Mytilus edulis: one gene and its partner. The protein of the gene in region 1 interacts with the protein of each later gene in a pairwise test. Links are inferred from orthologs where the notes say so. Each region holds a gene or a part of one and is shown on either strand. Other genes may lie near its edges.

What was found.
Region 2: the proteins of dihydropyrimidine dehydrogenase [NADP(+)]-like (region 1) and Golgi-associated PDZ and coiled-coil motif-containing protein-like interact in a two-hybrid assay, tested with the Homo sapiens proteins (2 studies listed by BioGRID and IntAct). The link is inferred for Mytilus edulis from reciprocal best matches to the Homo sapiens genes DPYD and GOPC.

Annotation. Positions count from the first base shown.
Region 1 is NC_092344.1:85,724,565-85,741,034, reverse strand, and holds the start of dihydropyrimidine dehydrogenase [NADP(+)]-like, read right to left. Parts: upstream 6,435-16,470; 5' UTR 6,341-6,434; coding exon 6,302-6,340; intron 2,514-6,301; coding exon 2,403-2,513; intron 336-2,402; coding exon 250-335; intron 1-249.
Region 2 is NC_092353.1:75,384,327-75,401,488, reverse strand, and holds the start of Golgi-associated PDZ and coiled-coil motif-containing protein-like, read left to right. Parts: upstream 1-8,151; 5' UTR 8,152-8,210; coding exon 8,211-8,423; intron 8,424-12,833; coding exon 12,834-12,998; intron 12,999-13,439; coding exon 13,440-13,615; intron 13,616-14,158; coding exon 14,159-14,324; intron 14,325-14,497; coding exon 14,498-14,593; intron 14,594-17,162.

The DNA of each region.
Region 1 (16,470 bases):
ACTGTGGTGATCTTAAAACAGAAGATTATCTTATGTATGCTCAGGTATGAACGGTCACAAACTGCAATTGAATTTTTGCATCAGTCAAAAACTTCCTCAGTTCAACCCCAAAGCTTCAAAGTTGATATGGGTGCATTTGGAAGATAACAATATTGATAACCTGTCTCATTGACTTTTATCCTACATTTATTAATAATCTTATTTTGTACTGTTATATAGATTTGCTTTTGTGTTATTACTGTAACATACCTAGATGCTTCTTTTAATGCACCTCTTTCACTCAATGTTGTATGTTTTATATCTTCAAAGTTCTTCTCCAAATTTGTTTCACAACTCTGCAACATCAAAACATACATCTTTCAATCAGTGTATATTAAAGTAAATACAATATTTTAATAATGTTTATAAAGCTTTAATTTATAAAACAATTGGTTTTTTTTTTGTTCTTTTATAAATGATTGCCTCAACAAATTAAAAAATGGCTTCAATTCTCATATGTGTCTTATGTTTTGAACTCACAAATTTTCCTACATCTACTTATCGTCAATAAAAGTATAGTTTTTAATTCTAACAAGAATGTGTCCATAGTACACGGATTCCCCACTCCCACTATCATTTTCTATGTTCAGTGGACCGTGAAATTGGGGTCAAAACTTTAATTTGGAATTAAAATTAGAAAGATCATATCATAGGGAACATGTGTACTAAGTTTCAAGTTGATCATGTTGATGTAACTTTAACTTCATCAAAAACTACCTTGACCAAAAACTTTAACCTGAACTTTGCACTATCATTTTCTATGTTCAGTGGACCATGAAATTGGGGTCAAAACTATAATTTGGCATTAAAATTAGAAAGATCATATCACGGGGAACATGTGTATTAAGTTTCAAGTTGATTGGACTTCAGCTTCATCAAAAACTACCTCGACCAAAATCTTTAACCGGACGGACGAACGGAGGCACAGACAGACGGACGGACGAACGGAGGCACAGACAGACGGACGGACGAACGGAGGCACAGACAGACGGACGGACGAACGGAGGCACAGACCAGAAAACATAATGCCCCTCTACTATCGTAGGTGGGGCATAAAAACGCATAATTATATGCAAAGTTCGTTTCCTTCAACATTTCGAAATTCTCTACTATTTATAGTATATGTAAGTAACTTTGGAATCATTATTAGGTATATTTTCTATTATTATGATTTGTTGATGTTACATGATGTAATTAAACAAAATTAAAATTCTAAGCCTGCAATCTCTCAAAGAGGAACATTCAGAAAGGATGTTCTGCTAACAAACTTTTAAATACTGTAAAATAATTATTTTTGAGGATGCTTTATTTCCCATTTAGCCCATTCAATGGTCATTTGATTTTGCAATTCTCAAAGGAGAAGGTTCAGTAAGACCCCTTTTCGGCCCCAAAATATAGCAGCTTTACAAAAATGTGAAAATGTAATCTTTAAGCTATTTATTGGAGAGTAGAATGCTTCTGCTACATAAACATGGGCTGTTTGACAAAACTATGCACATATACCTGGTACTTAAGCATCATTAAGTCATGCTAAATTACTGAAATCTTAAAAAATTTAGCATTTTAGTTAAATTTTAGACGGTTTCTGTTTATAAAAATGAAAGGGACTGCATTCATGTTCATTCATATTATTGAAATTTAAGTTGTATTTGATGATAATACATAATATATATAAAGTTAAGGATGAACAAAGTTGTGGCCACTTTCATTTTTGACAAAAACCAGCTGAAAAGTTACGTTTTTTTGCATATTTGATATATGTTTCATATTTAAGCTTGAATCGGTGCGTTTTTAATGACTAAATCAGTTAAAATCTTTCACACAAACTAATTGAATCAATTGAAATAGACACTTAAGTGTTTAAAAACTGTCTAAAATCTTTCGTTAGATGAACTTGAAATTTGAGGCCAAAATCGACCCTTACCAGACCTACTCCTTTACCTGATGTTGTTAAGTAAGAATGGTAAGGAAAACCCAAGGGGGCGATAAATGTCTGACCCGTGTTAAGAGAGAGCCACATCTCTTGCACGTAAAAGACACCCTTGTAGATTTCGAAAAAGAGCAGGCTAATGCCGCTACAAGGCAGCAATTGCACCCGAAAAGTGGAAAGGGATTAATATAAGTCGCAAAACTTGTTTCCCAATCCCCTTAAATAAATATGTTTAAACTAAAACCCAAGTTTTACATATTTGCGATATTTTTCTACTTGTGAAAGTTGCCTAATTAAATCACTCTTGAAAACTAGTTGGTTTACAGTACATGAACATTTGTACTAGGTTAACATCATCCATCAAGACTGTCATGACTGTTGGTATACAATTAAATGTTAGTTTACACTAATATATCATATTATTGTGACTTACGTTACATCCTTTTTCCTGGTTCCTTTTCCAGTGTTGCTTGTTCTTCTTGGTTGAAGCACTAGGTACCAGATTGGCATTTTGATGAATTTTAGGATTCAGAGCTAATATGTTCTGGAACATAAAATATTAGATTTTTAATCACTATATCACTATATCACTGTATCACTATATTAATATTTTAGGCAGGTGGGATTTTTTTTTATAATTACTGGCTAGGATATATGCCCTATTGAAATGTCCCTCGCACCATGCGCACTGCGTAAATGAGGAATTATAAATTTAATTGTGTGTACAGTATATAGAATTCTAGAAATTTAAGAATAGGAACACAGTTGTGTATTTCAAACTTTTTAATTTGTTACAAAGAATATGTTTTTATTATCATGATAATCATGATAATGGTACCTCAAAGGGAAAAAAAGTATAAATCTCATTTCTCTGATAAATGATGGATTAATGACTTGATGTCCACCATTTTTTACTAGCTATTTACTTTTACATTACCATATTCATGACATTGAAGTTATAATATCGTACAGATGTTCTTCATTCATGTCATTAACAAAATGATAAAAGTTAAATTCTTCATTTCTTTAATATAAAGTTAATTTCAAAAGGACAAAAAATTACAATGATTCATGTAACTGTCCATCACCATATTCAATTTTGAACATGTTTGCCTTCAATAAAATTATGTAGTTATATATAGCTACGTTAGTAGATATACCATTTTTACAGCAATTCAGTAAACATATTTGACCAACTAACATAATTGTCCTAAATTTAGTCCAATGGAATAATAATTTGTCATATATATCATGTATATATATATATACCTACATGTTATAAATGTCTAACATGTTAAATTAATGATGTTGTACTTAATATGTCTAATAACAACAATATATGTAATGGACCTCAGTACATAAATATGTACACAAAACACATTTTAAGGATATAACCAGGGACTTCCAATCAATGTCAAAGGTTATGGTTGCACTGGTGGGATGTAATCAGCAGAATTGAAAACAGTTGAACAGATTTTAAAGTAAAATGGAAATAGATGTATCAACAACATATAGTTTTAAGAAAAATCTATGGACTTGAAATTGGAGATTTGATAATTTTAAGACAATTTTCTAACATGTTCGTTCCATTAGAAATTGAACAATACTAATGTAGCTTAGGTGTAGTTTTCAGAAACTAGCATGCATATACAATGATATACATTTTGACCAACTTTATTGTTCTAAATTTAGTTCTACCATGTCTACTGTCTTACAAATGTCATGCATATAATTAATGTCTAAACAAGTTAAAGTAACGATGTTGTTCTACTTTAAATTTTAAAACAGTGCAGAAATTACTTTTATTATGACATGACAACTCTAGTATATTTCAGTGACAGAACCATAAATTTTCATTAGTGGGGGGCTGGGGCCCACTGACTGCCTAAGAGTGGCCAACTCCAGTGATTCCCTATATAATCAACCAAATTTTTCCCAGTAATGGGGGGGGGGGGGGCTCCCAGAAAAGAAGGGGGAAGCCGCCACCCCCTCCCCCTAAATCTGCCTCTGTAATTGTTATCCTTATCCTATGTTGAGATACCTGGTATATAAAAATTACAGTATAAAACATGGTAAATATCAGTCCCTTACAATTTTATTTAGGTTCTGGGGTTTCAACATGTTCAAAAGCAGTGTTGATTTCATTAAATTTAACAATTGGGAATTAAAAACAAAGAGACAAAAATGCAAGAAAAACTGAGCATTTAACAATGGTTATGTAAGAGTTAATTTGTGTAATATAGCTATAGGTTCATAACTTGGAAGAAAAATATTTAATTTACTTGTAAAAGCAAAAGAAATGGAGAAAAACGTGAAATGCACAAATACAAAAATATTTTGAGTCATAGCAAGAGTAGAAAGAGTTGCTTTAGAGACATTGAACCAAGCCATATACTCAAACATGCAATACCAGATTGATCAGCATAGAAAACCATATCAATTGCATTTTTGACCACTGTCCAGGATGCAACAATTACTTCAACTCACTTTTGTATTTTCAAGAATAATCTGCCAATGCAAACTGCCAAGTCAAACAGACAAATGAAACATACTAAAGTATGTTGCAATTATATTGCATGAACTTTAAAGCATTTTTAACATGTTTAACTAGGTTTGATTAGTTGCTACAGATGCATATAGATACATTTGTACAGAAGATGAATTTAAGCTTTTTTGTGTACTGGCCAGCCAGACCAGTGGACTGAAAACTCTACTGGTCCAGCTCCAAATCTACTGGTCCTGCAAAAATGACATTCATTTGACAAACACTAATATAAATGATAGATGTTTAATTTTATTTTGATGCTTTCATAAGTTACACAGGAACAAAGGGATAGTCTTGATTCTGATTTTGATAAAGTCTTTGATAATCTCAAGTATTTTCTTGATCAAAATCAAGATAGAGAACAGATAAAATATCAACATTGTCTTCCGCGTCATCTCAATCCTCACGATGACCATAGGGTGCCTGACTGGGTCGTCTGAAGCGCTGCATCATGTCTAGAAATATTCCAAATTTTCACATGTTGTACAGTTCATTAAATTCCAATCTACTATATAATTCAACCATTCACGATCTTTTTCCCATGATTTTTGGTATTACTTTATTTCGATCTTCCTTTTGATTTTCACTTATTTTATTTTTTTTGTCCGGCGGTTTAACTCCTTCCAAAAATTTCCACATTTTATATTGTTGTGAAGGATGCTCACCCGAGATTTTAATTAACTTGATCAAATTAACTTGATCAGTACCGTGTAATTAATTTCACAGGTAAATTGTTCATTCGGCAATCCTTGGTAAAATCCGCTTCTCTCCTTCTATCCTTAGATGAGGGTACGTAATCGACCGAGTTGAGACGAATGGTAAATTGTTTTGTAAACAAACGGAGATTGGAATGCAATCAGTGATTTTTAGCGACAAATTTCTACTGGTCAGCCGGACATCCACTAGCGTAGCGTAACATTCTATTTGCATGGTATGAATTTGCCTGTCCCAAGTCAGGAGCCTAGCTGTACAGTAATTCAGTGGTTGTCGTTTGTTGCTGTTAGTTAGTTGCCTTTTTGTTTCGTAGTATGGATAGTAAAATTGTGTATTTTATCTGACTCGTTTAAATCACTCGAAACTAGGTGAGAAATGCACAGAAGTGATATTTATCATGTTTATGTATTATAAGTATAGAAAATTGAATATTTTAATCAACAAAAAAAAAAAAAAAAAATATCTGTATTATATATGCAAGTGCCTGTGGTTGAAAGCTGTATTAAAGGTGAACTGTAGCTGTGTCAAAGTAAAACATATCAATCTTTGCAAATTCAAAAGTATAGCCATTGAAACAGGATCAAAGGCAGCTCCCCCCTCCCCCCCCTTTTCCCCTACTTTGTGGGAAAAAATGTTATGTTAAGTAGAAAATCACTGAAGCATAACTGAAATCCACCCCTATTAAAGTAGTCAGTGCCCCCTTTTTTTTTGTAAAAAGTTTTTGATCCGTCATTATGGATCAATTCATATGACAGATTTCAAAAAATTGATATTGAGAGGTTAATTTAAGAAATAATATATTCTTCACAGGGCTAGTCCATTATATAGCATGAAAACTTTTGTTCAAAGTTCTGTATTCATGGGATGCTGTTTCAATCGGTTTCGATAACATTATCCAAATCATTTTATGATTATGCAAACACAGATATCTATATCATATGTCCATTATCTGGGTCAGTTTTGTCCAAGAGATTAATGCATGAATTATGAAGTCAGTGCGTGCAAATGAACGCTTAATAACGAAAGAATTTTATATAGCAATATAGAAATGTGTATTGTCAATGCAGTCCTACCTCTATATCTTGCACATCCCTGCTCAACAACGTGGCCATGATGCTGAACTTGTTTACATATAAATGCGGTCAGGTCAACCTTCAGTCATTTAGCTAGTCCATTGTATCGTGTAGGGGAAGTAGGATTTCTATTTATTCCAGCGCAAATATTCCAGTGCACCTGAACTGAATACTAATTGTTTAAAACATCGTTTTTTCTCATTTTCTGTATATTTTCATTTAATTACCGTATTGTTAATATTTTAACCTCGATTATCGACTTTATAAGCCATTTTCAGATAACATCTAGGATGTTTACACAATCTCAATGAATCGATTTACTATTGTGTCCCAAGGATACATCCGTTCAGATTTAGTAAACGGTGTACATATAATGTCAAGGAATTGTATATTTAAATATACAATATTCCTTGATAATGTTTACTAACTTTGGTAAACATATACAGTAACTATTCCAGTTAAAATGCACAGGCGCTTGGGTATATCACGCATTTTCAATAAGAGGGTGCACGATCGGCTGTCGACTATGGCAAGCCGTTGTGGAATTTATTCCCTATTTATTAATATTAAAAAATCTGCATATTTTTAATCCGTGTGGACCAACACAAATTTTTTTTATTTTTTTATTTTTTTCTGTAACGGAATCAACAAATTGAAATGTTCGTTACTGTCGCCAAATCCTAAATAAGGTGTTGATCACTAGAAAGTTGCCTCGTTTGTGCATTTCTTTATCCTTCACAGTTACACAGCGGTGATATCTTTCAGGAAAAAAACCTTTCATGCGTTAATCTCCCCAAAACGCATGAGGTCCGTGTAACACTTATCAATTCAAAGTTTTAAAAAGTTTTGAAATTTTAGATTTTTGGAATTTTGATCAAAGTTTAAAATATCAAAATTTCAAATTGTGTAAAAGTTTTGAAATTTTTAAATTTTAACCAAATTATTAAAACATAAAAATTCTGAATATCGTTTTTAAATTTGAGAGTTTAGGAATTTGATCAAACTTTTAAAATACTAAACCTTACGTGCAATTTTGATTATTTCATTTCTTGAAAGTTTGATTTTTTAAATTTTTGATTAAAATATCAAAAATAGAAAAGGGGCAAAAAGAGGGGTACCTGTAAAAAGCGGAACGAAACGAAACAATATGAATTGAAAACATACTGATACTTAAACGTTAATGTTTGAAATAAAACCACAGACAGACATTTGTAAGCGGTGAAAAATTGGATGACAAAATAGATATTTCTCAAAAGAAGAGAGTTCATTTCAAAACCATATGTACGGCTCTGATATTGGCCATTTTACTTGCTGCTTTTTCTAGCACCCATATTTTAGGAGAAACAGGAGTAACAGTAAAACTGAACAACTCGCAGTAGGTCAAATAGTATAGTTAGGTTGAGCATGTATATATATATTTTCTACTGAACTCTAAGCAATAAAAAGGCTCAATACACGGTGTATAATCTCTTTTGATTTGATTTTTTTTCTGTTTTGCTCTACGACTTCTTACTTTCTGCAATCGTGTTGGCTAAAGAATATATCATTTCATGTACATTATGAACGATCATCTTCAACGTTTTAATCTGTTATTTGTTGGCCCTAAATATTCAGCTTTGAGCGTTCCATAAGAAGGTCGATCAAGAAAAGCGCTTCGGTCGTAACTTTTAACGTTATGTTTTCATTTTTATCGGTTGTATGACGATCATAATTATATTGACTTGTATCAATGATTTTAGTTAATATTTTTTTGGTACGGTAGGAATACTGAATGCATGGTGTCCCAATTAAGGTTGTGCTAGTCTACAATGTGGGAGGTTTTTAACATATATATATATATATATATATCTTATTTACGCTGAAATGAAGAGTACTAAGATCAAATATTAGTAGATTGGAGCCAAGATACTGTTACAAGGTATCTACAAAAACTCATCATAGATGGATACCAGGATATAAATTTTGCCGTTTTTTGAGCCAGACCGTCGTGTTTCGTCTACAAAAGACTTATCAGTGACACTCGAATCAAATTAAGTTAAAAGGCAAATAAAGTGAAATAAAATTAAAAAGGCCAAATTTAAATCCACTGACTTATAGCTCTGGTTTTGTAAAAGTTGAAACCTTTCATATCATATATAAACGTATACCATAAACATTATTTTCACGAGCATTCATATTTATGTAATAGTTGCCGCTGTACTACATTAAGCGCCCATCTAGCATTCATATTTATGTAATAGTTGCCACTGAACTACATTAAGCGCCCATCTATCCATTTGTAGGTGTCGGCATGTTGAAAATTGAAAATTCTTTTCAAAAGTTTATATCAGTGATAAATGGTAATCTTTTGGGGAATCCAATATATAGATAGTCACTTTTTTTTACTTTGATACTACCACGAGGGGCTTTTCGATAATGGTACATTAAAATAATATGATCACTAATTTGATGAAAAAAAATAATACACTGTGTCTAAACCACACCGGCAATATTTGCTCGGACTCGATGGTATCTAACATCCGGCACAATGACGGAACACCAATAGACAAAAGAAAGGTAGGTTTCTCCTTATTTTTTTATTTTTTTTATGATATCGAAGAATATATATACATATACAACTATTTTCTATTGTGAGATGCAATATTTTCTACAACCGTACTATATTAAGGGAGAAATAAGTCAAAATGCATGTCAAAATGACGAATTGAGTGAACCTTGCCTCGAAATTGTTTAATTTCTCGTAAAATTGTTCACATTGTACGGAAAGAAAGGTACGGGAAGATAGATATTGACACGGAGATTGCAAATTTAGTTATTATGAGCATCTCAATAATTGTATTTCTGTGTATGGAACGAAAGAAAAGGGTCATGTCAAATTAAAATAAACCGTTTTCGTCAATGTTGTTACTACACAATCACCCGGTTTCGTCTACATAATATATCACCCGGTTTTTTTTTGTTTTTTTTTTAACAAACAATTTATGAAAAGAAACTTTGGCACGGATCTGAACATTGTCTTTCGAGAATTTAAATATATATTTATTGTAAAGTAAACTTGGCGTGTTAAAATCTATTTTAAACGGACACTTTTGGACATAGTTAATTATGATAATACACATTTTCCTAATGAAAAGCGTATCCCTTATTTCACTAACTTCAAACTAGTTTTAAATGGAATATAAATACTGAATAGCAAACACTGGTATCTAATTATTTTGTAACATTATTATATTTTCTTTGTTTATAATAGTAGTATGTAAAGATGAAAAATAAAAGGATGTGTTTTGATTGTGCCATAATTTTAATTTACTATACTATATTATATACACTTAGTTTACAATATTTACTATCAATTATTAATACATTTATGCATTCAATCATTGACGAACAGTCCCAAACCGACTATAGTCTATACTGTTCTGCACAAATTAATCATGCATGCAATCCTGCCAGATTTTCTGGTACTATATATATATACTGTGTTACTTGCGCACTTAAGCGAGTTTTCACACTTAAGCATCCATAACATACATGTAGCAGTGAGATTTGTAACTTTCTCCCCGTTTCTGGTAGGCACATTTATTTTCATAGGCATGTTTTTCACATTATTTTTACAGTTCAAATTCATTTTTTGTACAGTTCAAATTCAATTGAAACTTCAAGATAACTTTCGAAAACAATATCTGACAGTTTTGTATTTTCAATGTGAATAAAAGTTGGTTTGCAAAACATGACCGTCATTTATATCTAGGTCTTATTAAGAAGAAGTGACGGTAACCACGTATCTCATAAACATTGACAATGAGACAACTTTCTTTTAGACACAAAAAATATGTTGAATTAATCAAGTTTAGGTCAGCGTATGCCTTAAACAATGAGAAAAACACACAAACTGCATGAAAGCAAGCTATAACAGGGCCCTATATTATAAATGTAAAAAAATTCAATCACTCTAAACCAAAATTTTAAACATCATCAAAAAGTAAACAGAAGTTTAAAATATTTATATAACTAAGAAGTGTATAAAGTTTAATGCCGTTATAATACTTCGTTTTTGAGATATGGCGCGACATGTTAAAAAAAACCCACATTCCTGTTTCACTAACATTTTCTGTAACTCAAAAAGATTTTTTGATTTTCACTAAAAGGTTTGCAGATCGTTTGACCATTATAAGAAATAACTATGTTAAATTTTAAGAAAATAAGATAAGCTGTCCTGAAGTTACGGTGCGACATGTTTATGCTGGACAGACGGATAGATAGACGGACAGACGGACGGACCGAATGACTGATAGATGGAGGAACGGACGGATGGAAGGACGGACGGACAGACGGGTGTATACAATAATACGTCCTGTCAAAATTGGACACAGGGCGTGTAAAAACGCAAAGAAATGAAAAAAAACAACTCGTAATTAAAGGTCAATAAGTTTTATTAGGATATCGGTCAAGTCGATTTATTTGTATATTTGTCTGCCTTATCATTTTTGCTATATAACTTTTATATATATTTGAAAAAAATGTATAGAACCCGATAAAAAGAACTTGATATTCGGCATTTATTATAATAAACATAATCCAACTCACATAATCCGATTTGCCGGATGTCCCTGTTTTCTCATTTCTTACAATATTTTAATTCGGTATACACTTTATAAGATAGTATCGAATTCATAACAGTGTGGCTATGGACATTGATTGGCGCACTTTAATATCCCATTGACTGGGACAGATTAGGTGAACGTTCGTCTATAACGCCCATTGCTCACGACGTCATTAATATAAACATTTAAACCGTGGGGTCACCAAAGGTTCTCAACGCCTATATAAAATAATTCGAAATACTAATCAGGTATTTGTGTTTTGATTTATATTGATTAATTAAACGTCCTTTACTTGTGTTTTTGTTATGTTTCGACAATCAATTTTCATATAAGATATCGCAAAGCCATGTTCTTTCATTTGTGATCGCAAATAAAATATGTTCCGGACCTTATGAGTATTTGGACCATACGTGTATGGTTGGACCATATTAGTATACCCTTATGGTCATGATATATGCGTATGGTCCAAATACTCATATGGTCCGGAACACATACATGATATTCTGTGCGTTGTCGGTCGTCTATTAATTTTTTTCTTTTGTTGATGGATTTGACGTCTTTCTGTGAGTGATTATTTGTTCATGACTTAAAACTTACTTGCAAATAATTTAAAAACAAGACTTGATTTATAAAAATGTCCAAACAAACCATGATTTTTTTTAAACATACATCACATCCATTGCAAAAGGCTAAAATTCGCCAGGTCTTTAATTTCAACTAAGTGAGTTGACTAAATTAATGTTGCGGACCATTTTCCAATTTCCATGCGGTATCTCTATTTTTTTTCTCGCTTATCTTTTATGTTTGTTTTTTTCATCCCAAGACCTCTTGGAGCTTTCATTCTATGAAGTGTGTATTTTGCTAATGGTCGAAGGCCATACGGGGACCTATAGCTTGATAACGCCTGTTGGTCCCTGGAAAGAATGTGTCTGATTGCCTATCACACTTCATATTCTTATTTTAACATGCAGTTATATCTATGATAAGAATGAAAATTGAATTGTCATTGAGACAAAAACCCAACCAAAGAGCATAACAAAAAGAAAAAAAAAAGCCCAAGGCAACATGTAGATCTTTCGTATCAAGGGAATTGCTATAAATATATTTATTTCAGGTTAATAGTATTAGGCCATACTCAAGTTATAAAATAGATCTTGTCGTCAACTTTTGCAACCAGCTTCTATGTTTCTATAATGCACTGTTCATCTTTTTTGGGCTTCGACTTTTCCATTGGACAGACAATTTTGTTTTCGACTGTTTTAAAAAGATGCATTTTTTTACAAAATCATACATGTAAGGAGTCTCTGGCCTTTGGTAGTGTTGTATGTTAATTAATTAATGTTTATTTATTTGTTTAGGAAATAAGTATGACGTACATTTTCACTGAACTAGGACACTTTTTATAATAGTTTTTCGATATCGCTCTGGCAAAAATAATCACGAATATAATGCCTACCCATGTTAAAACTACAATAAAGTATAGTTTGCATCAATTATTTCTTGAACCTACCATTTTTTTTGTCTGTGTTGGATTTGTGTGGCATTGAAAAAAACGGGTATAAACTACACAGTGCAGCTTCCAACAAGAATACAAGATTTATTGATTTTCAAAATGCGACCAAAATTAAAAATTTGCTCGCAGCGGAAAAAATTCAACAGTTTGATTTTCATTGAAATAAAATAATTGTTATGATTTACACACCGTTACTTTTTCCAATATAAATATTCGAACTATTTTGTTTGTTGTTTCCTTTATAAATTTACATCATTTTTAAAAAGACCACGCGTCTTCGATATTTAGAAGACTATAAAAGCGATGTTCATTATCTTTCTTCTGCTGTAAGTTTAATTTAGTTATTTTGTGTCATAATTGCCATCTCGTATGTTTTAAATTTGAATAAAGAAGATTCAGGTTGTCTTATACGTCAATGATACACACACAAAAAAAAACGATAACAAATAAAATAAGGTGCAACATTCATTCTCCATGAAAAGAATACATCACATGGATGTAATTTTTGTAAGAAAAATACTAATTTCGTGAGAAGTTGTGTGTTGGACTTGAAGAGCCAAGGCAAACTGACAAATATCTGAATGAACGAATCGATTTATGGTATATATAAAAAAAAAAAGCCCACATGGTTAGCATTGAATAAATAGAAGGCCACTCTTAAATGATCACAACGTAGAAGTTTTTGTTCTCTTAATCAATAAGATATTTTCTGAAATAACGCGGGTCCCTATTAACTTAAAAGTTTTTTTGGTTTTTATACGACCGCAAAATTTGAAAAAATTTTCGTCGTATATTGCTATCACGTTGGCGTCGTCGGCGTCGTCGTCGTCGTCGTCGTCGTCGTCGTCCGAATACTTTTAGTTTTCGCACTCTAACTTTAGTAAAAGTGAATAGAAATCTATGAAATTTTAACACAAGGTTTATGACCACAAAAGGAAGGTTGGGATTGATTTTGGGAGTTTTGGTCCCAACATTTTAGGAATAAGGGGCCAAAAAGGGCCCAAATAAGCATTTTCTTGGTTTTCGCACTATAACTTTAGTTTAAGTTAATAGAAATCTATGAAATTTTGACACAAGGTTTATGACCACAAAAGAAAGGTTGGGATTGATTTTGGGAGTTTTGGTTCCAACAGTTTAGGAATTAGGGGCCAAAAAAGGGCCCAAATAAGCATTATTCTTGGTTTTCGCACAATAACTTTAGTTTAAGTAAATAGAAATCTATGAAATTTAAACACAAGGTTTATGACCATAAAAGGAAGGTTGGTATTGATTTTGGGAGTTTTGGTCCCAAGAGTTTAGGAATAAAGGGCCCAAAGGGTCCAAATTAAACTTTGTTTGATTTCATCAAAAATTTAATAATTGGGGTTCTTTGGTATGCCGAATCTAACTGTGTATGCAGATTCTTAATTTTTGGTCCCGTTTTCAAATTGGTCTACATTAAGGTCCAAAGGGTCCAAAATTAAACTTAGTTTGATTTTAACAAAAATTGAATCCTGGGGGTTGTTTGATATGCTGAATTTAGAAATGTACTTAGATTTTTAATTATTGGCCTAGTTTTCAAGTTGGTCCAAATGGGGGTCCAAAATTAAACTTTGTTCATCAAAAATTGAATAAATGGGTTCTTTGATATGCCAAATCTAACTGTGTATGTAGATTCTTAATTTTTGGTCCAGTTTTCAAATTGGTCTACATTAAGGTCCAAAGGGTCCAAAATTAAACTAAGTTTGATTTTAACAAAAATTAAATTCTTGGGCTTATTTGATATGCTTTATCTAAATATGTACTTTGATTTTTGATTATGGGCCCAGTTTTCAAGTTGGTCCAAATCAGGATTCCATATCAAGTATTATGCAATAGCAAGAAATTTTCAATTGCACAGTATTGCACAATAGCAAGAAATATCTAATTGCACAATATTGTGCAATAGCAATTAATTTTCAATTGGAGTTACCTTTCTTTGTATAGAATAGAAGTTGATAATATATGTTGGAAATTTGCCAGACATGACTATGATGTCATTTTCTATTTTTATTTGCCAATAACTTTATGTAAATAACTTCATTGGAAATTTAACAATATAAAATGTTGCTGATGAAGCTTTTTTTCCTTATCTTATCTAAAATGTTTTTAGATAATGTATGTTGGACATTTGCCAGACATGACTATGATGTCATTTTCTATTTTTATTTGCCAATAACTTTATGTAAATAACTTCATTGGAAATTTGCCAATATAGAATGAAATTCATAACAGTGTGGCTGTGGCCATTGATTGACACATTAAAATTCATCCATTGACTGGGACAATTTACGTCAACGTTTGTCTGTAACGACCACTGTTCACGACGTACTACGATAGACATTTAAACTGTGGGGTCACCAAAGGTTTCTTAACGCCTTTAATTATAAAATAATTCGAAACATTAATCAGGAATAACCTTTATGTTTTGATTTATATAATTGATATAAATCAAAACATCGTGTTATTTCTGATTTATTTTTCGAATTACTTTGTTAAGGTGTTGAGAACCTTTGGTGACCCCATAGTTTAAGTGTCTTTAAAAAGTACATAGTGAGCAGTGGTCGTTACATACAAACGTTCACCTAAATTGTCCCAGTCAATGGATGAATTTAATGTGTCAATCAATGGCCACAGCCACACTGTTTTGAATTTCATTCTAAAATGTTGCTGATGAAGTTTTTTTTATTGTTTTATACAATAAACAATGTATATTCACTTTTACTACCAACCAATCTTTACCATTCAGTGATAACAAGCACTTTATTTTACATTTTAATATTTTATGATGTATTTAAAAGAGTAGTTATTGTTGCAAACTCCATTAGAAATTTGAATTGATATCAGTTTTGGAAAAAGGGAAACGGGGATGTGAAAAAAAGGGGGGTTTAAATTTTTCTCATTTCAGATTTCATAAATAAAAAGAAAATTTCTTCAAACATTTTTTTGAGAGGATTAATATTCAACAGCATAGTGAATTGCTCAAAGGCAAAAAAAATATTTTAAGTTCATTAGACCACATTCATTCTGTGTCAGAAACCTATGCTGTGTCAACTATTTAATTTTAGATTTAAAAAGTTTGAAGAAGAAATCTTTAATTGATTTGTAAAATCTTGACATTTGTTTTGTGTAAAAAAAAAAACATGTAATGTCAAAAATTTGATCACAATCCAAATTCAGTGCTGTATCACGCTTGAATGTTTTGTCCATACTTGCCCCAACTGTTCAGGGTTCGACCTCTGCGGTCGTATAAAGCTGCGCCCTGCGGAGCACCTGGTTTTTACCATGAATAAACTTTTTTTTTTATTATTATTTATTGATATCAGCTCTGGACATTAATATTCTTAAAAGTTAAACTGTTGTAAGTGATGGTATAACAATTATTTAAAATAAATTCCTTAAATGATATGTGAAAAGAAAGTTTCATTTTATGTAACAAAATGTGTAACAAATGATTATTTAAATCCCCACTTGAAGGCCTCCGATAGACTGAGTGAGCATAAAATCATCGCCCACGACAAACAAGTTAAAGGTAAACTTTTCAGTACAATTACTAATAAACGTTTTACTGTCGACCACACTGTTATGAATTTCGTTCTAAGTGGCGAATCTAGATGACGTATAAGTTGCACGCCCCGACCCCACCTTTGGTTGCCAAAACTATATTGATTCCTGTATTTAACGATTTTGTAAAGCAAAAAATAATCAAAATATTGTTCGACTCGCTACGCTCGGTGGTATGTAAAAGTTGTTCGAATTACGTCCACTTTGAAATAAACTGAATCTGTCTGTCCGTATATATTGTCAAAATATATTGACCAACGTCAGTGTACGATCATCATAACACAATGGCGACAGCACAGACTCGTTTTTTTTAGTAATGTTAACAAAATAATTATTATTGAATTTTGTCGATGACCTGAGACTATTATACTAATTTGTTACAATAAGGGATAAAAAACATTATTTTAATTTATGGTAGTTGTAATCCTACATTCATTTTCTATGTCGATTATGCATGCATGCATATACAG
Region 2 (17,162 bases), on another chromosome or scaffold:
TACGGCTAAGGTAATTTATGCCTGGGATAAGAAAATCCTTAGTTTTTCGAAAATTTCAATGTTTTGTAAACAGGAAATTTATAAAAAAAAAATGACCACATTATTGATATTCATGTCAACACCGAAGTGTTGACTACTCAGGGCTGGTGATACCCTCGGGGACGAAATGTCCACCAGCAGTGGCATCGACCCAGTGGTGTAAATAGTTATCAAAGGTATCAGGATTATAATTAAGTATGCCAGACGAGCGTTTCGTCTACATAAGACTCATCAATGCCCTCATCAGTGACGCTCATATCAAAATATTTATAAAGCCAAACAAGTACAAAGTTGAAGAGCAATTAGGATCCAAAATTCCAAAATTTTTTGCCAAATACGGCTAAGGTAATCTATCCCTGGGATAAGAAAATCCTTAGTTAAGTCATAGTTAGAATTTAGAATGGAAATGGGGAATGTGTCAAAGAGACAAGAACCTGACCAAAGAGCAGAAAACAGGGGAAGGCCACTTATGGGTCTTTAACACAGCAAGAAATCCTGCACCAGGAGGAAGTCTTCAGCTGTTCCCTGAACAAAATCTGTATTAGTTTAATGAAAATGGACGTCACACCAAACTGAAAAACATATAAATTAACTCCTTACTGTAGTTCGATTAAATAAAACACATAAGACATACCAAAGACGAGAGGCTCCTGACTTGGGATAGGTGCAAAAATGTGACAGGTTAAGCATGTTCTTTTAGTAGTTTTAAATCCACAAGTTTAGCAGAGTTAAATGATTTACGATTCCAGTTTTATGTGGGCTTTTCACATTAATATAATACAATTTAACGAAAGAAATATTGTTTCAACCTGGAAACATTTAAGATATATGCAGTCGCTCCTGAAATATTTCTACATAGAAATGAAAATTAAAATTTGAAATTGGGAAGCTGAAATCATGTTTTTGTCTTAAAGTTGTGTACTCAACTGACCCTCATTGTCAATTTCGAGAAGTAATTCAAGACTGAATCTGTTGTATAATTTGTTTTAGTACTGTGTGGGATAGATCAGTTCAACATAAGCAACAAACTTTAGATTTATTTAGTGTTTGAAAAAAAAGTTTTATCACATTGAAACTGAACTCCGAAGAAAATTCAAAACGGAAATCCCGCACATGGAGGTGGGTTTCAGCTGTCCCCAAAATAAAAATGTGCACTAGTTCAGTGAAAATGGACGTCATACTACACTCCAAAACATATAACTAATCTAAAATTAAAAAAACAAACAAGACTTACAAAAACCGGAGCCTCCTGACTTGGGGCAAGCGCAAAAAATGCGTCGGGGTTTAACATGTTTTGTGAGATCTCAACCCTCCCCTTATACCTCTATAGAATAAAGAAACACACAGCAATACGCACAGTTAAACTTAGTTTAAAAGAAGTCCAAGTCTAACAAGATATCGTTTTCTGCATTTGGCTTTCTTTTTCATGAAACAAAGTAAGAACAATTATTTTAAGTTAAAACGGAAAATATTTTTGTTCAGGATAGAAAAGAATTGTTTTATACCATTGCAAGAGAAAAGTGACTTAGATAGTATGTTGCCTAACAGATCTTTGAATTTTTAAGTATCCATATTTGATCCACATTGTCCCTAGATTAAGTAGTGCCACAATTACTCTGAAGCAGCCTTTGATTGCTAATAAAATAAATGTAAATAGTTTAGAAAGAGCTCGGGGTGTTTTTTTAGCATTTGTAAACTCAGCAATATAAAGTTTCTTTTGTTGTAAGGACACTGATGTAATTTAGGTATCCAATTAACTGGAGATAGAGCTGGTTCTGTTTTTTGTTTAACTTTGTAAACAAACATATAACAGACCTTTGATTATTTAAGATTTACTCTTTGGTGAGTAGCCAGGGGTATTTTGAGTGGTAAACGGACAGAAAGTCACAGGACAAAAAGTCACAGGACATAAAGTCACAAATTTGGTAGGACAAAAAGTCACAAATAATTTGTTGACAATTGTATCAGAAAAAATGAATTGTGACTTTTTGTCCGTGACTTTTTGTCTGTGACTTTTTGTCCTGTGGCTTTCTGTCCTACATTCTTTTGAGTTTCCGGTTGAATTATAAATATTCAATTCATTTACCAATTTAGCATTTATGTCCTTGTAATGTGACTTACACAGAAACACGATGTTGTTAGTAGCTAGCGGGACAACACAATATTTGTCATGGAAGTATGACAGGTTATTAGCAACATTTAAGTCTTTCAAGTTCAATGTACCTTATGTAGTTAGTATTCATATTCCAATTTATATCGGGAGATTTGGCATGCCACAAAACCAGGATCAATCCATCATTTTTTTCTTCTTAAGATGTCCTGTACCAAGTCAGGAAAATGGCCATTGTTATATCATAGTTTGTTTTGTGTGTTTTACATTTTAATGTTGTATTTGAATTTCTGTTGTGTCGTAGTTCTACTCTTATATTTAATGCGTTTCACTCAGTTAGTTTGTAACTCGGATTTGTTTTTTTCTAATCGATTTATGAATTTCAAACAGCGGTATACTACTGTTGCCTTTCTTTAACACGATTAGAAAAGTATACGATCTCTTGTTTGCCTTTAGCCAATTTCCTGGCATAATCATCGACTGAAATTTAGAAGATTTTTTAGCCTTTGTATAAGACTTTCCACTCAGAAGTTTAAATGACAATGTTGAGGTCACCAGTAATAAAATGGCTAGTTGGATTTTATATATGAAGGCAACATTAATTAGTATACCGCTGTTCAATAGTCATGAATCGATAATGCGAAAATGATCATGAATTCGGGTTACAAACTAAAACCGAAGGAAACAAATCAACTATACGCGGGGGAGTAAAGACCCGGCAATTGCCTCACAAAAATTTCGACACTGGCTTTTTTTAATACGTATATATATATATATAAATATAACAGTCATTTATTGTTCTGTCATCATTCCTTTTATTAATAAATTATTCTCCCTGGATATAACTCAGCATCTCAACGGGTGATGGTTTTCGAATACATTAACCTAGTAACGATAATCATCATGGAGCTCTGGTTAAAAACAGGCTCTTGCAGAAAAAGGAAAACGATACCGAAGGGAAAGAAGGAATATTTCTAGTAAATTATGTTTTTTTGTGAACAGTCTGAGTATTGAATATAACTTCATAAGAACTAATCCAAAAACGATAAGCATACTGACAAATCAAGTACTGGACATCGCAAGGGGGCAGGCAGTCCTGTCTGCGTATTAATTTATCCGTTTCACCAACTTTAATTTTTCTCTTTACAGATAAATAAAATATAAATAATATGAAATATGCATGGATCAGATTTTATCCATGTTTCTTTAACCTTAAATATTGAAAGAACATCCCATATTCCAATTTGACATTATTGATGAACGGTTGGATCTTTAAAACAACGGTTTATTGCTGGGTCTTCCAAGTGCTCCATGAAACCTCTTTCTAAATTATAAAGTTTTTACATCAATTTCATCAGCTATCAAAGCTGGGCTTTAGAGTTATTGTGAAACTGCCTATTCTAGAGTTTGCGTGAACTTTTAAGAAGGAAAGAAAAGAAGTTAGCACTGTCCTTTAACTGTCCGCTATATAATGATGTTCCCTTACTACAGAATCGAAATTTGGTGACTATGTTGATAGAAATCAAAGGCACCAGGCTTATAAATTGATACGCAAGACGCGCGTTTCGTCTACATAAGTGTCCGGCCCATAATAGTGGAATCAAACCGACAAGAAATGAGCACATATGGTTCACATAAGAATACAGAATGTATATTAAATAAAATACCACCAAAGGAAATGATGTAAATAAAAATATCAAGCATCTTGGAATTTCAGTTTTATTGAACGTTTCATTTCAACAAGGTGGTATTTTTAAATGTATTTGTCCCTTTCTAAAAACAGATGTATATATGTTTCCTACCTCCATGACAAACATGTTGGTGTGCCCGCAGAAAAAGCTTGAATTTGTTTTTTTTGCATTATTTAAACGGCTTGAAACTCTTCAACTTTGTACTTGTTTGGCTTTATACATATTTTGATATGAGCGTCACTGATGAGTCTTTATATAGATGAAACGCGCGTCTGGCGTACTAAATTATAATCCTGGTACCTTTGATAACTATTGATAAGGGAATTGTGTATTGATAATTCACTTTCTTTTTAACAACTTAATTCCTCATCCCCACTTTTTTTTATCTCTATATCCCACTTCCCGAAAGCGTGTCATTCTCTCTGTTTAGTTCTGATTTGCAAGCATTGACAAAAGCTAGAAACCCAAATTCGTAAGGTTTATATATTAATCAAAGGTAGTTATAGAGTAACTGTGATTCTGTCCAGTTTGTACTGCGCATTTTAAAACTTTTAAAAGAGGGTTTATATACTACACTTGAATGGAAAAGCAATACAAAGTTGCTTGTAACAGCACTTCTGTTATTAGTTATCCAGTAGAGCTAAAGAAAGACTAATTTTAACAGATATTCCAAAAGAATATAAACGTCACCTTGATGTTAATGATTTCCTCGTTACTACGTAAGGTGAAAAGTGAAAAGTGTGAAAAAAATCTCAACAAGCGATACTTGTAAAATGAGCACCCCATTTAACCTCCTGAATCAAAGACTTATGAGTTGGTATATAAATACCAGAAGTACGTCTTTAGAATAGTTATCAAATGTATATCAGGATTATAATTTAATGCGCCAGACGCGCGTTTCGTCTTCATAAGACTCATCAGTGACGCTCATATCAAAATAGTAATAAAGCCAAACATGCAAGAACAAAGCTGAAGAGCAGTGAGGACCTCAAACTCCAAAAAGTTGTGCCAAATACGGCTAAGGTAATCTAAGCCTGGGTTTAAGAAAATCCGTAGTTTTTCGAAAAATTCAAAGTTTTTATAAACCGGAAACTTATAAAAATGACCGTATAATTGGTATTCATGTCAACACCGAAGTCACGATGACTACTTGGCTGGTGATACCATAGAAGACTCACAAGAAGCGCTCGAATCAAGACAGTTGAAAGGCAAAATCAATTAGACAATTGAAGGGCATTGTAAAGCAAAAGTTCAATACAAAATCTGCCTATCAATCAGAAAGCTTAACATGACGTCCATTTCCATAGATTTGTGGTTAAACAAAACTTTATTATTTAGTAAAGATGGCGTTTGTTTTTGTTGCACTTCAGCGTCCCTGTTGTTCCCTGTTGTTCCATTTGTTTTCCTCTTATTATGATGATGTGTTTCCCTCGGTTTTAGTTTGCAACCAACATTTGTTTTCTTTCAATCGATTTATGACTTTAAACACCGGTATGCTACTGGTGCCTTTATTTGGTACAGGCATTTTCTTATACATGTATAGAAATGTATTTAATATTTGAATGAATAAAAATGGTGTTACCGTAACCTTATTAAGACATGTGTTTACTAACTTTACATTAATTCAATCTTTCAAATAGAAATTAGGGATAATTAAAATGAAAAGATGCAAACATTGGGGTTGAAAGGTAATTTTTGAAAACAAATACCTCAGGGGGTGGAGTCTAAGGAGTCACACTTTACTATGCATGGATTAGTTGATCAGAGGAAACATATTCTAAGACACAGCTGCACTTTTGTATTCAATTGAGTCATGCATATTGTGTCCTACATCAAATCAATTTTGTTTCTGTGGTTTTCCGTTTGGGAATGACAGTAACATAATCTGTTTCAACTTCAGGAAACCACAGACAAATTTAGAGATAACACACTTCAGTATAATATGATTACAAATATGAAGCTAAAAAGAATACAATTGGCAAATGCTTTTGAAAATAGATGGGCGAAAGATATCAGAGTGACAGTCAAATTCATAAGTTGAAAATAAACTGACAACGCCATGACTAAAAAATAAAATTACAATCAGACAAATAATAGTACAAATGACACAACACAAAAATAACTAAAGACTAATTTAAGCAACACGAATAGACTTATAGAATGGCGACTACGTGACTTGTGATCATAGTTAATCAAAGTAAAACGGAATAATTAAACACATAAAAAAGGTCATTAAATGTAACTATTATTTTTTTTCTAGATTCAAGTCAATATTAAATTAGTATAATTAACATACAAGATCAACCAGACGGTAGGCAAAGAATCAAGGACACTAGGCTTTCTGAGAAGGAACCTAGGACGGTGTAAACCAGAAGTCAAAGCTAACGCCTACATCACCATGGTCAGACTTACCCTGGAATACGCCTCCACTGTATGGGACCCTTACAAACATACCCTTGAAAAAGACCTAGAACAAGTACAGAGAAGGGCAGCTAGGTTCGTGTACAATGAATACCAAGATGTATCCCCAGGTTGTGTCAGCTCCTTAAAGGAGAGACTAAAATGGGAGCCTCTTAAAGATCGCCGCTGCAAAGACCGACTCACCATGGCATACAAGATCCGCAATAGATTGGTGGATATTGACCCCTCTAATTATTACAAACCCGGAGATTCAAGGACCAGAGGAGGCCACCACATACACCAACAGCGCACTCTAAAAGACCAATACAGGTACTCCTTCTTCCCAAAAACAACCAGGGAATGGAACACTATACCGGAAAAAGCCACAACAGCAGCTACACTAGAAGAGTTCAAGGCCAGCCTTACCATCCTGCCAGAGGTCTTGACAGGAGCTTCCCACACCTAGATCTCCTTTGACCCCAGATGTACATAGTTTTATTTGTAAATAATTTTCCTGTAAATAGTTTTTATTAAGTGAGGAGGGAAGGCCTCATGATTTCACGAGCAAGAGTCATTTATACACTCAAGAAGAGTCCGACTCTGTACTGAAAGAAGAAGAACAACTTGCACAAAAACAACACCAAATGGTTTGGGTCTAAACTAAATATGGACAATTTACGTTCGGAACTGTTAATTATCGAGCAGTTTGTTGAAAGTTATTTTGGTGGGAAAAGGTTGATGGGTATTGGCTTCTTAGATGTTAGATACAAATTAACATCAAGTATCGATGATAAAACAGATATCTTTTAGTATATATATCTAATCACAGTTTCAAGGTAGTGGGGCAAATGAGGTGTTCATCTCCCATTGATTGAAAAATATATAGTGTATCATTTAATCGTTCAAAATCATTTTAATCATTTTACTACTGGAAGTATTGAACGACCTTGGCTGGATTTTTAGCCCTCGCATGGTCGGCTTGTGCCGGAGTTGTTTAGTAGTATTTAAATATTTTCTGCGGTTGGACTGGAACATATGGCACCTACATTCAACAACATAAACATGTATTACAGTTTACTCCGTTAGGTGCCATTTTGAACTCCTTAAAACAAATAGTATCCAAACATTGATCATATGCCACATACAAAAACATAATCGGACTGCTATCAAACAAATAACAATTACTTTGTTTTACATTACGAATAATTACATCGGAGAAAACAAATGGTTAAGAAATGATTTACGAACTTATAACAGCTTTGTATGGATAAGAGAAAGAACGTATTGAATAAGGTGAAAATAGAGTAAATGTTAAAAAATGTTTAAATAAAATCTAAACAAAAAAAAATAAAAATAAAAAGGAGGCTTCCATTCAACAAATACATACCCTGTGTGGACAAGAACAACAACAAAATCGGTGCTGAGCAATATGCAACAACATAGTTGTTCAGTATATGTTTTTATGTCTGTTGGTTTCCTCTAGTGCATATGTGAATATGTGCCATCGGAATGTATTCAATGATTTATATTGTGATTCTATTGTCATTGCTGTATTAGAGACATATTTAGACTGGGATCCCGCTATATATAATGCACATTTATCTAGACAGGCGAACCAGTCTAAGACATATTATACAAAGAACTTTGCAAATATGAAATAAAAGGCGAGGAAAAAATGCCGAAAAAAAGCACACGATTAAAACAAGAAAAACAATTAATGAATATTTTAAATATAAATACAATAAACTTAGCAATCTACAACTCTACAACTAAGTTAAATTTTATCTTTTTGAATTTGCCGCTAAAAAAACTTATTTTTCCGGAAATTTTCCCGTTTGATGACGTGTGACATTTTGGTTTTTATTCATTTGAATCATTTGAGCGTTTGTAATTAAAAAAATTTCGTCGTCTCCTATCATGAACTAATTAGACCTTGAAGGAAAAAAATTAATGTTTGTCGCCTAACCAAAATGACAGCTACTTTATCGTTTCGGTGGTTAGAACTTTTAGAAAAGGAATTTGACAAAGCGTTTGTAGATCTTGATCTATTGCTTGGTGATATTGACCCTGACCAATGTGAATTAACATTTGAGGGCCGGCAAAAGATGACAGCTCTCAGTGCTGCATTTGCCCAGCTCTGTCACAAAGCTCAAACTGTGTTCCAATCAAATGCAAAACTTGAAGTAAGACTTACTATAGAAACCATTTTTCCATCCATGTTTGAAAACTTTGAAACCAAGAGTTGTCAATAACTTCTGAAAATAAAAATACTACATTTTATTTCTCAATAGACAATAATTTGCATCATCATGTTACATACAGTACCCTTCAAGAGTACCAACTCTCCCACACCCTACACCGAGGAAAATGTCGGAGCCACTCCGAAAAACTCCGATATTCCTCCCAAAATGTTGGGAGGAATTTGGGAGTAATCTCTCCCAAAATCAGGTAAATGTTTATTGTGATAACGAGCTCACTCTCTACACCGAGGAATTAATTGCCCTTATCCTACTTTGATCTATACCGGCACAAGACTGAATTGGTAATTGGATTACCTGACAGGTAAAGGTTGAAGTAATAAAGAATTATATTTCCGGTCTACTGTACCAGTTTAAGTGTCAAACAGGTGTATAATTTTAAATGTCTTTAATACTAATTAAATTTCATTTGTGGTAATTAAAACTAAAGTCAAAATATTTTCGTATTTTTTGTTAGCCCATCTAAAAATATCTTAACCTTAATGTACTTGCTTTAAAAAAAAAAACGATTATAAAATATAGCGGAATATGTGAAAAACAAAATATTCTACTTCAAAGTTAAAGTCTTTATTTAAAAATTATAAGTCTAAAAGTTTTATATATGCAAGTAAAAAGGAAAATTTATTCACCATTCATTAGACAAAATAATTGCCCCGTAATAATTGTGTAAATCTACGGCATTTTCTTTTTACGATTATCTAATTGCTGGAATGAATAAAAGATTTAAAAGCAAAATGTTGTTGTTAATTCTTTCAATTGTATTCAAGTTTTATAAAAAATGAAAACTACTTAATTTTGACCTCGATGTCTTCACCAGTAAATTAATATTTTATTGACGAAATGAGCATACTTGTGTAAAAATAACCGGAAACTTTTGCTAAAATAATTTGAACAGTTAAATAAAATTACGTGTTTGAAAGTTTTGTATTTTCAAGTAAAAAGGAAAATATTATTCACCATTCGTTATGCTTAACAATTACGACATTTTCCTTTTACGATTTGTTGGCAGTACAGCAGAATAATAATACATTTCCGTTACAAAAGATTTTAAAAACAATTATTTGCCGTGCGAAGACAATTCCGCGATACACATCTCAGTTATCAACAGTTTGGGTTGAACTTGAACTTGACTTACTTAACAATGTTAAATGCTAAAAATAGTTAACATCAATGTTATCCACAGCACGAGTTTTTTAAAGGGCGGGAAAAAATATCGCGTACTAGTAAACTCAGGTGACCTTTCTGGCCGACCGTGGGAAAGTCCATTCAAGGTTTCTAAAGTTGCAGAACGACATTTTTGTGCAATCGTATTGAGGCTCCAGAAGGTCCTTTTACAATTGATTTATCGGGAAAATATAATTCTTATCCGAATAAACGTGAACACATTTTTAACTATTTGAATTTTAATGTTTTATCTTTCAAAAAAGAAAGTACATTTATAGTTATATGTCCATGGTCAATAATATAGATTTACAGTTGGTGATGTATTAATTGAAATTATGATGGAAATTGTCCGGGGTGATTGATTGTATTCAAATGACAATAATCATGATAATACGATAAAGAAATGCCAATTGTAGGCGGTTGGGAAATTTTGAAAATAAAATGATGACTGATTTAACTGGAATAGATAATTATGATGGGCAATTATGAGGTTTGATAAATTTTATTAATAATTAAAGGATTAGTGACCTATCGGATAGCGATAATCGGATTACTTATCATCACAACTTTTAACATCTTTTGTAAACGTAAAATGATTGAGCGTCATAAACTTGTCAAACACCGGTAGAATTATAGTACATTTATTATATAATTAATGTGAAAATATTTTTCACTTTCCAAATTCAAATGACGAAATTGATATAAATACTTTCGTCAATTTGAAAACTGTTCTGTAAAATGCGAAAATGACGAGCACTATCAATATCACTTGAAATTATTTCCTTTGTCAACAGAGTTGTCATTTAACAGTTTCTGTTCGTAATTTGAATTATTCAAGTCTGTATAAATGTACCGAGGTTGTGAAACATCATATTTTACATTGCTCAATAAATTAAGTTTACTTGATGATCCGATGAATCGGGTTACCGAAAAAACAACATGATTTTATTAGCCAGTTGATTTTTTAATAATGAACAATTAATGCGCTGATATTGCTTATTGAATAAGTTATAAAAGAAACTAATTGTGGCAAAATCGTCCTTGCTGAAAGAACACAGTTACACAATGTATGACCTGACCGGACTGTAATAGAAACACAAAATAACAATTTTCTTCATACTTTTTCGTATGTACGTTCTATTTTAAAGATAACGGCATAAGACACAAATATAAAGGATAATAAATATCTTATTCTAAATGATATTGTCACATCTTTATCTGTCAAAGAAAGGAAAACATTTGTTCAATTTATAATACCGTGATTTTAAAGCACACCTGTGCAACCAAGATCGATTAAATGTTCAAAGGTAAATTATCTGGGTAATCCAATTATGTTGTCACGCGTCGTTAATTTGAAGTACATCCGATGGGCAATAAACCAATTAACAGCCACGCGGTGTTGGGAGAGAATCTTTGGAGGATTTTAGGAGTGAAATCCGCGGTACTCGGTGTGATTCCGAGAAACACGGAAATCGGAGAAAAAAGTTATCGAATCGATATTTTTGAAGAGTACTGTACATGTAGGGTTCATAAGCCAGCTCTGAAACTAGTTGAATCTTTCATGTCATACCAGTTGCCTTGTGACCAAAATCTATGCATCGTCACTTCCATCTCATATTGAGGAAACGGGCGATAAAGTGATGCTATACACATGCTACTCAAAATATTTGGGAAATTAAAACCTAAATAACTACAGTTGTATGGGGGTTGGGATTACATTCTTACTGAACATAAAATATTCCTAAACTACCCTGCAGATCGACGATCCAGAAAATTGTTGAAACTGTGATAGTGCAGGGGTTCATTTGCTGTCTGGTAAATAAACTCATCATAGATATTAGGATTGAAATTTTGTATTTAAGCCCAAGTGCTTTTTCTCTTCAAAAGACTCATCCCGAAGTGCTTTTTCTCTTCAAAAGACTCATCAGAAATTACACCATTAAAGTGTACATAATTGATGATCTTTTGAATCAAGAAATAACGTATTATAGTCCTGTAATATGAGGCAGGCAATACCTGTGAATGAGGACGAAGTCTGTATGAATTATTTTTTTTGTAACTTTTAAAAATATTTGTTAAAAAAAGAAACGGAAATACTGTAACGTTTTTGATTTTGGTTTTGTTGTTAGGGATTTTACTTGTGACATTATTTAAGTTATGGCGTCATGTTCAATGTAAACAAAGAAACTCAAAGCAATGCATCAGGTAACCTTAATTCATATCAAAGACAAAGAAGTATTTAAAATGAAATATTGGTATTGTGTTCCTTGAGTTTCTATATTTTACTATGTCTCACGACAACGAGACCGGAAGAAGGAAGTAGATTTCTGTGTTCTGCCCAAATGCGGAAATGAAAAAAAGCATCAAAAAAAAAGTTAACAGTTTTGAGTTCATTAGTACATTGTACAATGAAAAATTTCAGGAAATCTTCTCGATTTAAAAAAAAACTCATGATAAAATTTATTGATTTTTCTACTGTAATTATATTTTCTGGAACTGTGGGTCCATTCGTCCCTTTATCTGTGTGTCCCCCTTCAGGTTAAAGTCTTTGGTCAAGGTTGTTTTTGATGCAGTTAACAAGTTAAAGACCAATCAACTTGAAACTTAGTACACTTGTTCCCTATGATATGATCTTTCTAATTTGAATGCCAAATTAGAGTTTTGATTCCAATGTCACTGTCCACTGAAAACAGAAAATGATAGTGCAATTGGGGTATCCATGTACTATGGACACATTCTTCATGTTCTTGTATATCAAATATTGTTTAACTTTCAATACTGAACCACGAACAAAATATCTGATAAAAATGTTGAATGCAAATGAAATGGACCTACAAAGTAAAACTGCCAAGCATTGCGCATATGCCTCATCACTTCCAACTATAGATGTCTTTTATAAGAATCAGTTTTCGTTTAGGGAGGTGTAACCCTTGTACATTTTTTTTACATGTATTAAACAAGGAGGCCTAATCTGATCGCAATACATAAATTATTTTGAAATGTACAGGAATTATCATCTACTCATCTCTTCAGTATACATGGTATAATTGCAGGATGCTATTCTATTTATAGAAGTACAATGCATACAATCAATAATTTCAGATATTCTTCAGGTTTTACCTTCATGACTTAATTTGACATGACTAAGATTAATTTTATTTTAATTTCCAGGCACAGCTAGTAGATATGAGATCAGACATGATAGAAATGAAATCCTCTAAAGCTCTGGTTGACAAAGAACTCCATAATGTCTTATTACAACTCCATTCACTACAGTTACAGAAACAGGCCGATAAAGGCATAGAGGCTGATTCTACAAGCATAATGAAAAAACTGGTGAGAAAAACCTTTTGGAGAACATATATGATGTTCCTTGGCATTTTCTGTTTTTTGCTGTGCATTTACTGATAATGTGTCATGAATGGATACCCCATATTATCCTCTCTTTTCTATAATTTGTAACTAGCTGAACTAAATGTAAGATATCAAAACTGTCAAATATTTGTTTTGCTTATGTTTATGTGGCCTGTAATGAAGTTGTGACCCATACAATTTGTAAATAGGTAAGTGTGACCTATATATGGAAGGAATGCAACATTTGCAATGTTTTAATACATATGTATATCTGAAAGGAGTAGATTAGAATGAGCCTAATAATGATATCAAAATTAAAATACCAGTTTTTATTTGGCAAAACTTAATCTGTTGTAAATTTAGCAATAATACAAACATTACAAAACATTCTGAATTAAAAGTTTTCAATGTTTTAAATTACAGGAAGATGAATTGCAGGCACAAAAAGCAGAATTTTTAAATATGGCTAAATTAGAGGCAGAGGTAAAAGAATTAAGGAAAGAAAATACTGAACTACGTCAATATGTTTTAGCTCTGCAGGGAGAAGTTTATGGTGCAAGACTTGCCGCTAAGTATTTAGACAAAGAATTAGCTGGAAGGTAAATACACATTGAAACAGAAGTATAAGTTTTAAGATGAGTTTTTAGGCACCTATACAAGAAAGAAGCTTTCAGGGGATTGTCAGTGCCCATTTCATGTGCCAAGTTATATTGATGGAGGAAACCTGATAACCTTGATAGAGTCATAACCTCTGCCAGATAACTGGCAATCCAGGTCAATTAAGTTAAGTGTCACAAGCTCAGTATATACATGCTACATTGCTAGCTGATTGCTGTTGATGAACTACTTAACCCATTTAGCCACTGTGGCCTCTTACACAATCATTGAGAGCAATGAAAGTTTTTACCTTATGCTGGTAGACCCACTTTGCAGAGCTTCATAAAAAAATGTATTGATAATTTATTTTTGTCTTTGATAGGCTGTACAGTGAACTATAGTTGTTAATTTCTTTTTCATTTGGGCTCTTCTGAAGAGTTGTCTCATTGGCAATTGCAATACATCTTCTTTTTATATGAAATATTTGCTATTATATGTTAAATAAACCACAAACAATCATCTATGATGTCTTTTATGTTTTGTAGAATTCAGCAGATCCAGTTGTTAGGTCGAGACATGAGAGGAGCAGAGCATGACAAGCTTTGGAACCAGTTAGAAGCAGAAATCCATTTACACAGACACAAAACAGTAATACGAGCATGTCGTGGACGGAATAACTGGAAGAAAAAATTACCTGTTCCGGCCGGCCATGTAAGTTTTAAAATATTTATGAGATAAACCTGTGTTTTGGGAACTCTATAACAATGTTGTCAAACTTTCAATAGAATTCAGTGAATTAATCATACCGGTATGAAAAATCTCCACATACATTTAACTGAATTACATTGTGCTATAAAATTTCAACATTGTTCTTAATTTTGCAGGACTTTAAATCGTTAAGAAAACAGCATGGTTTGGGAGATGTGAGGAAGGTCCTTATACAGAAAGGTGCTGATGATGGACTAGGTTTGTCAATAACTGTAAGTAAATATTTTAGGAAAGAATACATTGCAATTTTTTTGTAATAATGAATTTTCATTTTCTATACTGGTATACTACAGTCATTTTCTGATATAATGAGGATTTTTGTGAAATATGATCAAATTCAAACGTATAATGGACACACCATTCTCACTTTTGCAAAAAGACTTATGGAATAACTTATCTAAGAAATCAAATATAGAAAAATGATCAAGAGTGACCAAACAACACGTAAACTGACAAGTGTAGCTGTTAGCACATGATTAAATTGTCAGTGTTCTTCTGTCACAAGTTGAATAATTTTATACATATTAGTTCTTTGACAAGTTGTTCCTCTTATTACATTGACAGTTGGCTTTTAATGGCACTAATAAGTAAATTACAACAAACTATATCTTTTTCTGCATATTCACATTTTGTTTTGATGCATCATCATCTACAATGTCTTGACATCACCCAATGTATAAAATCAGATGAAATTAGATGAAATTATCCAATTTATTTTCACGTGAAATAATAGGATTGGTTTTCACATGTGAAATTATCCAATTTATTTTCACATGTGTAATTACCAGTTTATATTTAAAGTTCTAGTTCTGTGAAATCACAGTATTTCATTGCAACCAATGTAATCATCATTTTTATACGACCGCAAAAATTTTAATTTTTTGGTCGTATATTGCTTTGACGTTGGCGTCGTCGTCGTCGTCCTGTGTCCTCTTGCGTCGTCGTCGTCCGAATACTTTTAGTTTTCGCACTCTAACTTTAGTAAAAGTGAATAGAAATCAATGAAATTTTAACACAAGGTTTATGACCACAAAAGGAAGGTTGGGACTGATTTTGGGAGTTTTGGTCCCAACATTTTAGGAATTAGGGGCCAAAAAGGGCCCAAATAAGTATTTTCTTGGTTTTCTCACTATAACAGTAAATTTACTTTAGTTTAAGTGAATAGAAATTCATGAAATTTTGACACAAGGTTTATGACCACAAAAGGACGGTTGAGATTGATTTTGGGAGTTTTGGTTCCAACAGTTTAGGAATTAAGGGCCAAAAAAGGGCCCAAATAAGCATTATTCTTGTTTTTTGCACAATAACTTTAGTATAAGTAAATAGAAATCAATGAAATTTAAACACAAGGTTTATGACCACTAAAGGAAGGTTGGGATTGATTTTTGGAGTTGAGGTCACAACAGTTTATGAATTAGGGGCCAAAAAGGGGCCAAAATTGAACTTTGTGTGATTTCATCAATTGATGATTTTGAATAATTGGGGTTCTTTGATATGCCGAATCTAACTTTGTATGTAGATTCTTAATTTTTGGTCCCGTTTTCAAATTGGTCTACATTAAACTTAGTTTGATTTTAACAAAAATTGAATCATTGGGGTTCTTTGATATGCTGAATTTAAAAATGTACTTAGATTTTTAATTATTGGCCTAGTTTTCAAGTTGGTCCAAATGGGGGTCCAAAATTAAACTTTGTTTGATTTCATCAAAAATTGAATAAATGGGTTCTTTGATATGCCAAATCTAATTGTGTATGTAGATTCTTCATTTTTGGTCCAGTTTTCAAATTGGTCTACATTAAGGTCCAAAGGGTCAAAAATTAAACTAAGTTTGATTTTAACAAAAATTAATTCTTGGGCTTATTTGATATGCTTTATCTAAACATGTACTTTGATTTTTATACGACCGCAAAATTTGAAAATTTTTTCGTCGTATATTGCTATCACGTTGGCGTCGTCGTCGTCGTCGTCCGAATACTTTTAGTTTTCGCACTCTAACTTTAGTAAAAGTGAATGGAAATCTATGAAATTTTAACACAAGGTTTATGACCACAAAAGGAAGGTTGGTATTGATTTTGGGAGTTTTGGTCCCAACATTTTAGGAATTAGGGGCCAAAAAGGGCCCAAATAAGCATTTTCTTGGTTTTCGCACTATAACTTTAGTTTAAGTTAATAGAAATCTATGAAATTTTGACACAAGGTTTATGACCACAAAAGAACGGTTGGGATTGATTTTGGGAGTTTTGGTTTCAACAGTTTAGGAATTAGGGGCCAAAAAAGGGCCCAAATAAGCATTATTCTTGGTTTTCGCACAATAACTTTAGTTTAAGTAAATAGAAATCAATGAAATTTAAACACAATGTTAATGACTACAAAAGGAAGGTCGGTATTGATTTTTGGAGTTTAGGTCCCAACAGTTTAGGAATTAGGGGCCAAAAAGGGACCCAAATAAGCATTTTTCTTGGTTTTCGCACCATAACGTTAGTATAAGTAAATAGAAATCTATGAAATTTAAACACAAGGTTTATGACCATAAAAGGAAGGTTGGTATTGATTTTGGGAGTTTTGGTCCCAACAGAATAAGGGGCCCAAAGGGTCCAAAATTAAACTTTGTTTGATTTCATCAAAATTGAATAAGTGGGGTTCTTTGATATGCTGAATCTAACTGTCATGACTGTGTATGTAGATTCTTAACTTTTGGTCCTGTTTTCAAATTGGTCTACATTAAGGTCCAAAGGGTCCAAAATTAAACTTAGTTTGATTTTGACAAAAAATGAATCAGTT